Linked DNA regions of Macaca mulatta. The protein of the gene in region 3 interacts with the protein of the main gene of each other region in a pairwise test. Links are inferred from orthologs where the notes say so. Each region holds a gene or a part of one and is shown on either strand. Other genes may lie near its edges.

The links.
Region 1: the proteins of RPS14 (region 3) and TAF9 interact in binary tests that used the Homo sapiens proteins (3 or more experiments, as listed by UniProt). The link is inferred for Macaca mulatta from reciprocal best matches to the Homo sapiens genes RPS14 and TAF9.
Region 2: the proteins of RPS14 (region 3) and KRR1 interact in binary tests that used the Homo sapiens proteins (3 or more experiments, as listed by UniProt). The link is inferred for Macaca mulatta from reciprocal best matches to the Homo sapiens genes RPS14 and KRR1.

What each region holds. Positions count from the first base shown.
Region 1 is NC_133411.1:77,439,557-77,443,650, forward strand, and holds TAF9 (transcription initiation factor TFIID subunit 9), read right to left. Parts: upstream 2,759-4,094; 5' UTR 2,758-2,758; coding exon of another isoform or gene 2,665-2,757; intron 1,617-2,664; 5' UTR 1,600-1,616; coding exon 805-1,599; 3' UTR 646-804; downstream 1-645. Other genes in the region: AK6 (adenylate kinase isoenzyme 6), read right to left, coding at 2,665-2,757. UniProt on the Homo sapiens protein: The TFIID basal transcription factor complex plays a major role in the initiation of RNA polymerase II (Pol II)-dependent transcription.
Region 2 is NC_133416.1:82,682,531-82,686,674, forward strand, and holds the start of KRR1 (KRR1 small subunit processome component homolog), read right to left. Parts: upstream 2,834-4,144; 5' UTR 2,799-2,833; coding exon 2,714-2,798; intron 1-2,713. UniProt on the Homo sapiens protein: Part of the small subunit (SSU) processome, first precursor of the small eukaryotic ribosomal subunit.
Region 3 is NC_133411.1:159,406,424-159,409,531, forward strand, and holds the end of RPS14 (small ribosomal subunit protein uS11), read right to left. Parts: coding exon 3,101-3,108; intron 1,983-3,100; coding exon 1,906-1,982; intron 633-1,905; coding exon 565-632; 3' UTR 517-564; downstream 1-516.

The DNA.
Region 1 (4,094 bases), about 82 Mb from region 3:
GCAAATAAAGATCTAGGTTTCAGAAACTATAACCTTGATAAATTGATGTTCTTTTGGACAAAAAAATTTTAAAAATTAAAAAAATATAAACTATAACCTAATCATCAGCCCTGGATCAAAAATGAACATGATACTGGCTTATAGTATCAGGAATATGAAAAACAAAGATGCTCAAAATTAACCTGCAAAAAGAGACACTGATAAATTTTTTTTAAAAAAGTGGAGACATACTGGGAGACACTAAGGGTCCTTAATATAACCAAAGGGACAGAAAAATGGGACCTAGGAAGTTGGACAATTGAGGAAGATAATCAAAGCAGGTTAAGAATTCACTATGAATAAAAATCCTGACCAACTAGTCTCTCCAAAGAGGAGTCATGGTTATACTTCAGCAACTGAGAGAACAGATCACAAGAGTGACATACACCAGAGATCATACTGTGATCTATATATCTGAAGACACTTGAGGTGACATTCTAGTGGTCAACAATAGACTACAGTACTGCAAGTTGCTGCAACTGTCAACTGTTACTCCCCTTGGTGACAACAGGGAGAAAATTGCTTTTAAAAACATAACTGCCAAAGCACCAACAATCAAAGTAATGAATGACAACTTTATTTTTCTTACACTTTTAAGGCTGATGAAAAACCTTCATTTCAATTGAAAAGTATGGTAACTGTATTTACTCATTAATTATTATTAAAGTTTTCTAAAACACAACTTGAAAACATCCAGCATGCATGTTTAATATCAGTACAATGAATTCAAGACCAAGTATACATGTTACATGCAGCAAAGCTAGATTACAAATTATCATAGTCATCATCATCATCATCGTCATCATCATCATCTTCACGTTTTCTTTTCAATGCATTTGATGATTCATTGGCAGCATTTTGTGATGACACCATATTAGTGGTAATAAGAATGTTTTTGGACCCAATTAATGATGGATTAATCAGAACATTCTGAACTGCTGAGGTTGCAGGAATTGAAGCTTTTACAGCTGGAGACTGCGAAGTAGGCATCTGTACTGTAAACCTTTGACCTGTGAGGGACATGGGAGTCCCTACTTTAGTTGAAACAGACATGGTCTGTGGGGTTGGTGTGCCTAGTGTGGGAGTACTTGGTCTGCTAGTAACTGAACCAACACTTAACCGCGGGACTGTTATTCTTCCCGCAGAAGTTGATGCCTTTTTCTGTAAAGATTTCAGCCTATAGTTTGGAGCTGTTAAGCAGTATCTATCAGGTGGCAACCTAGGACCTGAATATGGCTTGATCAGTGGCAAAGGGGTTTGATTTCTTTGCCTTGCGATATCTAATAAAAAATCTCTTGGGGGAGGAGAGGTAAAAGACTGGTCAGCGCGGCACTGGATTGCCAATCGCACATCATCTGCATCAACGGTAGCTTTCTTAGCATGGCTTGAATAAATTTTTGCATCATCTAGAATTGTGGTCACATATCGGAAGGCAAACTCCAACATCTGATTTATAACTCTTGGCTCATATTCTGTAATCCCCATATCCTTCAGGATTTGTGCCATCATCTGTGCATCTTTCGGCATGCTCTTGGGAGAAGCCATCTTGCCAGACTCCATGATATCCGATGATCAGACTTTAGATCATTTGAAAAAAATATGTACATTAGATCAATCTGAAATAGTTACTTTAGTAGCAACTGTCAGGAACTTAAAAAATTTTTTAATCTATGTTAAACTGTAAAAAAATTTTTTAAATTTAAACCATATGTTTTCTTAATTTTAATGAGGCATACTTAAAATCCCTTTAATTTATTGAGTTCCTACCATGTACAAATCATTGTCAACTATAAAAAGATGAAGACACAAATAAGGGAGTGATAAAAGATTAGGGGAAAACAGGGTAAAATAAATAAAAACATCTATCATCTTAGAATATATGCAGTTGCATGCAAACCTCACACTAAGATACCATAGCATAGTCATGTCCTACACCTGAGCTCAAAACAATCTCTTTCCAGTGAGACCAATACACTCACTGTGCTCATATATATGTTCAGCAGTACCAAACCTTTGTTTGCTCAACTTGAAAACACTCTCCTTATTCACATTCTACCTCTCCGAAATCCAGTCTCTTCATAGGAGCCTTCCCAACTATTCACAAGAATTGCTAGCCATTTTCAAGGAGGAAGGGAAAATGCTCAAAATAACCAGGACATAGCATTAGACACTTAATATTTCTGTGGATTCCCTAAAAGACTATATATATATATATATATTTTTTTTTTTTTTTTTTTGAGACGGAGTCTCGCTCTGTCACCCAGGCTGGAGTGCAGTGGCGCCATCTCGGCTCACTGCAAGCTCCGCCTCCCGGGTTTACGCCATTCTCCTGCCTCAGCCTCCCGAGTAGCTGGGACTACAGGCGCCCGCCACCTCGCCCGGCTAATTTTTTTGTATTTTTAGTAGAGACGGGGTTTCATTGTGTTAGCCAGGATGGTCTCGATCTCCTGACCTCGTGATCCGCCCGTCTCAGCCTCCCAAAGTGCTGGGATTACAGGCAAGAGTATATATTCTTTAATGGCAATCTGTTTTTTGTACCTTCTGACAATACCCAGCACTAACACTCCACTATCAGACTTAAAACAAAACAAAACAAAACAAATCTAACACCAAAGTGTCCCTTACCTTCTCGAGCTAAATCACCAACATTAATGTATTTCAGTCCCGATTTTGACGCAAGTTCTTTGCCTAGTGTAGTTTTTCCAACCCCTGGTGTACCTGTAAGACAAGCCACAGAAAAATACTGTTTGTGAAATACTACTTATCACACTGCAGCCCACCTTGTGCCCTTCCTTTTTTTATTTCTGAGGCAGAGTCTCACCTGGCCTCTGCCCTTAAAGATCTTGACGACTGAAATGAAAAATTTCTAATTAGCAATAACATGTAAAAAAAATTTTTTTTTTGAGACGGAATTTCGCTCTTGTCACCCAGGCTGGAGTGCAGTGGCGCGATCTTGGCTCACTGCAATCTCCACCTCCCAGGATCAAGCGAGTCTCCTGCCTCAGTCTCCTGAGTAGCTGGAATTACAGGTGCCTACCACCATGCCCAGCTAATTTTTGTATTTTTAGTAGAGACAGGGTTTCACCATATTGGCCAGGCTGGTCTCAAACTCCTAATCTCATGTCATCTGCCCGCCTAGGCCTCCTAAAGTGCTGGGATTACAGGCGTGAGCCACCATGCCTGGCCATATGTAAATCAGCATGTACTACGATCTAATAAAAATTTTCCAAAGCTAATTGAATGTCAGAATATTACTCAGTGTATTGATTCTCCAGGGGTGGGGCTCAGCAAATTCTGACGCCAATTCAAACTGCCTGCTGCTACCATGGAACTACTCAGAATAAAATTAGCCACCTCGTGCTGGGCGCAGTGGCTCATGCCTGTAATCACTGCACTTTGGGAGGCCGAGGCGGGAAGATCATGAGGTCAGGAGATCGAGACCATCCTGGCCGACATAGTGAAACTCCATCTCTATGAAAATACAAAAATTAGCCAGGCGTGGTGGCACATGCCAGTAATCCCGGCTACTCAGGAGGCTGAGGCAGAAGAATCCCTTGAACCGGGTGGTTGGAGGATGCAGTGAGCCAAGGACGCGCCACAGCACTCCAGCGTGGTGACAGAGACTCCGTCTCCAAAAAAAAAAAAAAAAAATTAGCCACCTCGAATCAATTACAATAATTTATTTACCTTTTTCTTCTTTTTATTTATTTTTTATTTTTTTTTTGAGACGGAGTCTGGCTCTGTCGCCCAGGCTGGAGTGCGGTGGCCGGATCTCAGCTCACTGCAAGCTCCGCCTCCCGGGTTTACGCCATTCTCCTGCCTCAGCCTCCCGAGTAGCTGGGACTACAGGCGCCGCCACCTCGCCCGGCTAGTTTTTTGTATTTTTTAGTAGAGACGGGGTTTCACCGTGTTAGCCAGGATGGCCTCGATCTCCTGACCTCGTGATCCGCCCGCCTTGGCCTCCCAAAGTGCTGGGATTACAGGCTTGAGCCACCGCCCGGCAACCTTTTTCTTCTTTTAAAGTCAAGATATCTCTTTGTTACCCAGGCCGGAGT
Region 2 (4,144 bases), on a different chromosome or scaffold from region 3:
ACCATAAAACTGAAGATCTCAATGCCATTTTGTTTAGTATTTTAAATACAATTAACCTTTCTGACTTTCCTGGAGTGTATGGAACCTGGGTGTATGTGTTTGTATACAACTTCTGAAAGAGGATTCTAGTTTATCTTTCAGTTAATAATCTCGAGTAATTCTAGATTTTCCTAAGCGTTTTGAGTGCCTTATTTCCACATGCGTTTCATAACTATAAAAGGTAGAATCTGTATTATTCTCATTTTATAGAAGATAGTCTAAAAAGGCTAAGTGACTTGCCTAAGGGAACACAAAGCTGACTCAGCCTGGGACTCCTTTCACTACAAGAAAATGCCTAAGGGCCATAAATTATCTTCTGAATCATGTATTTAAAAAACGTGGTACTGAATTTTAAGAACTCCTTAAATTCAACAGCTATACTCTAATTCAGTTATACTAAAAGGTATGCTCCATAGACTTTCAGTATCAGTATAAACTGTTAAGTCTGTCAGAAATGCAATTATTGGGCCCCACTCCAGACCTACTGAATCAGAATCTCTTCGACAAGGGACAGAAGTCTGTGTTTTACCATGCTCAACAGGAGACTCTTAAGCACAGTAAAATTTGAAAAGCAGGGCATTACCCTATGTTATCAACCTCAGGTAAACTTTCTGCTTATACTCACATCCACTTTTCTATTTCTATTTCTGGTTCAAATCACAGACAATTGGCTAGTCTAAGGATTCTCCAATGTCCTTTAAAGAACACAAATTCCACAAAAGTGATTACTTGTGTATTATATACATTTTTTTTTTTTAAGACAGGGCCTCGCTCTGTCACCCAGGCTGGAGTGCAGTGGCTCCATCCCAGGTCACTGCAGCCTGGACCTCCTGGACTCAAGCGATCTATTCTCTTGCCTCAGCCTCGCAAGCAGCTGGTACTACAGGCATGTGCCATAATGTCTGGCTAATTTTTGTTTTTTTTGTTTTTTTTTTTTTTTTGGTAGGGAAAGGGTTTTGCCATGTTGCCCAGGCATATCTCCTGGGCTCAAGCAATCCCCCCTCCTCAGCTTGCCAAAGTGCTGGGATTACAGGCATGAGTCACTGCAACTGGTTACTTGCAATGCTTCCCTGACCAAGTCCCTATCCAATTTAAACACTTCAAAGGCTACGGATCAATTTTTTCAAAGTTCCCACTACAATCTCAGACAAAAAATTGACAAAAGAAATACACAGGAGTTTCACAATTAAGGAAGGCCCAAAACATGTGAAAAGATACGCAACCTCATAGGTGATCAGAAAATGCAAATTAAAACTGCAACCAGATCCCATTTCATACCTACCAAAATGACAGAAATTCAAAATTCAGGTAACATCATGTATTCATATGAATGTAAGGCAATGAGAACTTTCGTCCACTGCTAGTGGGAACAAAACTGACACTAGCACTTTGGAAAAAAGTTAGCATTACTTACACACACCCTACACTTCAGTAATTCCAATCCTATGTTCACAACCTAAAGAAACCCTTGAACATGTTAACCAGAAGACATGTACAAAGATGTTTTAGCAGTACTGTTTATAATTGCAAGCAATAGGAACAATCCAAATGTCCACCGATTGTAAAATGAAAAAAAAAACTGGGGTATAGTCATACAAGGAAACACCACATAACAGTGAAAAGACTAAAACTACACCTACAAGTATCACCCTGTTTGAAAAACAAAGCTAAATCTAAGACACAGAAAAATGCATACGGTCCACTTTCATGTATATAAAATTTAAAAAGAGGCAAAATTAAGCCACTTCGTGACTACAAGAAGAGGAACAGAATGCAACGCAATTCAGAGTGGTTACTTGTGACAGGAAAAGAGAATATGATCTGAGAAGTGCACGTAAGGGTTTGAGGGGTATGGTAATGCTCTATTTTACTTAACAGTCTGAATGCTAGTTTCTTGCATGGTTTTATTAAACTATATATAAGTTGTATCCTCTGCTATGTACGTTACATAATCATTTAATGAGCAACAACGAAGAAACCTTGAAAACTTTCCCAATGCATCTAAATTGAGAGTTCAATGTTTTTAACACTTCTATGAGCCTGGTTGAACAGATCCCCAGGCTATTTCTGACTTCTCTGTCATTCATACTGAAGAAAACGGGTAAAACCAGACCACAACGCAGGAGTTAACAATTAAAAGGTAGCACAACCTAAAGAGCAAGGGCTGTGTCGTCTAGTATTTTAGCAATCTGACAAACAGGAATTGATAAATCTTTCAAACTGTCTTTACTGACAAACTAGAGCTAAGGACATGTCAGATAGCTCCTTTCCCCATATCTCACCCCATTATCAGGGTCGACTCCTGTATATCAGAACTACCTGCTCCCACCTCACCCTATTCCTCATTCCGTCAATGACTTTCAGTCCCCTGCAGGCTACAGGGTTCCGCGGCGCCCTCGGCATTTTCTTAATAATCTTTTACAGAAGACGTATTCAGCAACGGCTTCGCTTTGGGGACCCTTTAGCAAAAGGAATGAATTAGGAACACGTGGGTGGCACCATATCGGCCAGTCGTTCCTGTGGGCCCAGCCAATAATCTTATCAGCGATTATTGTGGTACTTAAATACACAGTACAGGCTCCAGGTGGTTTTATAAGTCCACAAGCAATGAGAAAAAAAAACATCGCAACTCAACGTCCACAAACCCCAGCCTTCGGTTCCCACATAACATCACCTTGGTTCTCCGGCTTTGTCTTCTGGTTACGAAATTCACTTTTTCCAGCCCCTTTTTCTCGCCGCTCTAAAGAGGGAGACGCCATTTTCAAGCTGCTTCCGGTGACGCCGGAAATGAAACTGTTCTTAAATCCTACCGGCTAAAATGCCTACACTCAAAATGAGTTCCGCGGAACTCAGACGAGGAGATCTGCGCAGTTTTCCGTGCGTACGTGCGTTAAAGCCCGCGCTTTTACACACACCGGAGGTTCTCCTACGTGGCCAATGAAGAGCTGGAGACTTTCTCCCAGTATGCACTGCAACCATGGCGTTTGCGTACTGGGACTTGTAGTTTAGCAGGCGGTATAGGCAAATTGGACACTGTGTTATCCGCAGTTTCCTCGTGGCCTCACGGGCTAACCTGGACCACCGGAGTGCGACCAGCCTGTCATTGATGTCATTCATTCTTTCGATAAAAATTTATATGTTGGCCAAATATGCGCTAGATGTTGGGAGGAAGCACAAATATGAGAATACAATGTATATTGGGCCTCCGCTGTAAGAAGTGACAGGAATAGCTACTATTTATTGTGAGAATGCTTTGTTGCAGTACTTTATTTACATTATTTCTAATTTTAAAAACAATGACCAAATTAAACTTTCCAAAGTTGTTTATGATGGTAATCTTCCCGAGTGTTGGTATTTCTCTTTCTAAGTCAGAGGGATGGTAATTCAACATTCTGACGTTTCAGAAGTATTTCAACTAGCCTAAGATTTCTCAAAATCTCTACTCGTTTTCTACCCCCAACATTGCATAGGGCTAAGGTGTGTAGAGAGGTTCATCACTGACTACAAATAACTACACTTTTAGAAGTATAAAAGTTCTTTGACATGCCAAAGACAAGATTTTTTAAAATTATTGATTTTATTGCTTGCATTTCTAAAATTTTCTGCAGCAAATAGGGAAAGTCTTTGATAGGTTAAATTCCTTGCATTAGTGAAATACACGTTTGTCTGATAAATCCACTCTCGTGTATCTTATACAAAAATTTAGGTTTTCATATATGAGATCCATGTATGAAACAGATTGTTACATATGGACAGAAGAACCCAAACGACAGAGCAAAGGTTTTTTGCTTTTATCCTGTGCGTTTTATAAATGACAGGGATTTTATCTCTGTTCTTTTAATTTCCTCAAAAAAATAATGATAAATCCCTAAAATAGAACAAATAGCAACAGGTTAAAGTTATAAAGTGAAGAGTACACCTCATGAAGCAGGTTTTTATCATCCTTATTTTAAGTAACTCAATCACTAATAAGTGAAAGGCCCGTCTTCAAGTCCAGGCAGTTTGACCTAGCAGCTTCAGGGGGCTACTATTCATTAGGAGCTTCAAAAGTGTTAGAAAGAGGGCTGATAGGGGTGAAGGGGAGGGAATAGTGTAGAAGTAATAT
Region 3 (3,108 bases):
CCGGAAAGCAAGAACTTTTCTTTTTTATCGCTGATGAAAATAGGACTTGGTGTGTATTTGTGGGGTGACAATCTTTATGTACTTTATGTACTGATGTGGAACAATCTCCAAGATCTGCCAAGTGAAAAAAAGCAAGACACAGTAGAGTGAGCTCCTAGCTCTGCACAGAAGGTGTGGGGGGAGAATGCACACCCACGTGTGTTTATATATGGCATGGGTCTGGAAGGCTCCTCTTCGCTTCAGGCTACACTTGGATCCACAGTTCCCACTCTGACTCTTTAAGAATTGGTCCATTTTTAGAACCAGCACCTCCACTCAAAACGAGGTCTCCAAAGCCTTGGTCTGCTTTAGATGACCAAGGCAACTTAATGCTGCAAGTAGCATGGAAAAGACCCCAAATGTAGCACGAGGATCTCAGCTCTCCTCAGGCTCCTTCTCCCAAGAAGCCAAATAGGAGGAAGAAATCAAATGCCCGAGTAGCCCCTGATGAAGGAGAAAAGACTGGAGTTCAAACAGTTTACACGAAGGCAATTTATTAACAGAAAATATTTTGAGGAGTCTTGTTCACAGACGGCGACCACGGCGACCCCCCTTCCTGCGAGTGCTGTCAGAGGGGATGGGGGTGACGTCCTCTGTGTGGAGGAAGAGAAAGCGTCATTGCCTGGAGCTGGATGGGAAGGGCCCCCAGGCCTCCCTAGACCAATGGCCTAACCAATCAGCAACAGATCCTGCTGCTCCCCAAATGACTCCCCAGTACATAACAGATGGATGTGAACGTGAAGCGGCCCCATCTGCCAGTTCCTCGAATTTCCTGACGTGGTCTTAACTCACTTTCCAGAAAGGGAAACAGGCTGAGAGGTATGCAAGATGTCAGAGGCACAGGAGAAATCCAGCTTCTGACATTTAGCCCACCATCTTCTCTAGAGGAAAAACCCTTTGGACAGGGTAACTGCAACTGTCTCCTTTGCATTAAGTAAAACGATACTGAAAAAAGTCTGAAAAAATCTTTCAAGGTTGGGTGCAGTGGCTCATGCCTGTAATCCCAGCACTTTGGGCTTCGGGAGACTGAGGCCGGTGGAGCGCCTGAGGCCAGGAGTTCGAGGCCAGCCTGGGCAACATGGTGAAACCCCTCTACCAAAAAAAAAAAAAAAAAAAAAAAGGCCAGGTGTGGTGGCACACACCTGTAGTCCCAGCTATTCGGGAGGTTGAGGTGGGGTGGTGGGAGGATTCCTTGGACAGATCTGCCCAAGAAGCAAAATTTACAGTGAGCTGAGATTGTGCCATGAACTCCAGCCCACACAACAGAGTCAGACCCCATCTCAAGAAAACAAAATTATCCTTCAAGTAGGACACGGTAGGAACTTTGGCCTGGGGCGTCAGCGTACATCTCTACTAACTGCACAGAAACAACGTGCAGGCAAGAACTAATGCCCCCTTCCTAGGAGCTGTAAGGAGCCAGGAAATCACAAGCATGAGTATTAATAATGGAGGCTGGCACCCCCCGACTTCATTTATGGTTGTCACACGGCTGGCATGCCCTACTGATATTTAGTGGGCAGATACCAAAAATGCTGAACATCCTACAATGCAGGAGATGGCACACACAAAATGCTCATTGCAATGCCGTCAAGAACGGAGGAAAGGACAATTCATCTCTTGTCAGTTTTACCGGCACCAGGCAGTGGAGGACAGAGATTCACAAATGAAACAGGACATTCACATCAAGGTGACAGAGGTATTCAGGGAGAGATTTTTAAGTCAGAAGGTGACTTGTAGCCTCCCTTAACAAACTTAACTGCCAAAAGCGACCAGACCAGCCGCTGCGCATCCACTGGGCACAGCATGTGCTTTTCGGGGCTGATGCTTCAAAACAGATCTAAGCATTAGCTAGAGGAGGGCACCTACCAATCCGCCCGATCTTCATACCCGAGCGGGCAAGGGCTCTGAGGGCCGACTGGGCCCCAGGTCCAGGGGTCTTGGTCCTAGAAAATGGAGGTTTAAGTTAAGAAAAGCCTGCGGCCCAGTCAATGAAAGATCTCCTTTCTAAGATTCCAACACCCCGCTAGTTCAGAGGTCTGCAAACTTTCTTTAAAGAGACAGGGCTGGGGACAGTGGTTCACATCTGTAATTCCAGCACCTTGGGAGGCCAAGGCAGGGCGGACTGCTTCAGCTCCGGTGTTTAAGACCAGCCTGAGCAACATGGTGAAACCCCATCTCCACAAAAATACACAATTTAGCCAGCGTGGTGGCGCTACTACTAGCAGTCCCGACTACTCGGGAGGCTGAGGTGGGAGGACTGCTTGAGCCTGAAAGGCAGAGACTGCAATAAGCTGAGACAGCACTGCTGCACTCCAGCCTGGGGGAGAGTGAGACCCTGTCTTAAAAAAAAAAAAAAAAAAAAGTCAGATGGTAAGTATTTTAGGCTGAGGGGCCACTATGGTTTTGTTGTATGATCTGACCACTGTCCGGCCTGTTCACCTAATAGTCATCTAGTTTCATGCCCCTCCCCCCACCACCACTCAAGGCCAGGTCCTTCCCCTCTCCTACAGGACTCCACCTCTTCCCCTGACTGTACCTCATGCCACCCTTTCCTTCACAGGTGCCCAGGTTCACCCTCAACATCAAGACCTTTCTTTGCAGTTGTCTCTAGCTGGAATCCCCTCCTTTTGTCCTTCCTTCACTGGAAGAACTCTGGACTCATCGAGACCTTAGTTTAAATTACACTTTATCACCAACTCCTTACTTGTACTTCCCGGCATTTGTCACAAATGAAAAGCACATACTCCCTGGCGCTCTGTTGTTTAAAGTCTGACTCTCCTACCAGCCTAGGTCCCACACAAGGAGGGTAGAGACCATGTCTATGTTTCCTATGTTTCACCCATCACTCTCTTCTAGTACCTGAAACACAGCTCCTGGTATACAGTGGGTGCTCCACACTGAGCTGCTGGGGGTGTACAGAGGAGCCAATTATTAAATATGTATATGACTAAAATATCTTGTTCAAGGTCACAACGAAAAACCCAAACCTCAAATCCAGGTGCTCCAGTACCCAAGCCCAGCAGGTTTTCGACCACCTAGTCATCCCCTCCACGTCTCGTACCTATTTCC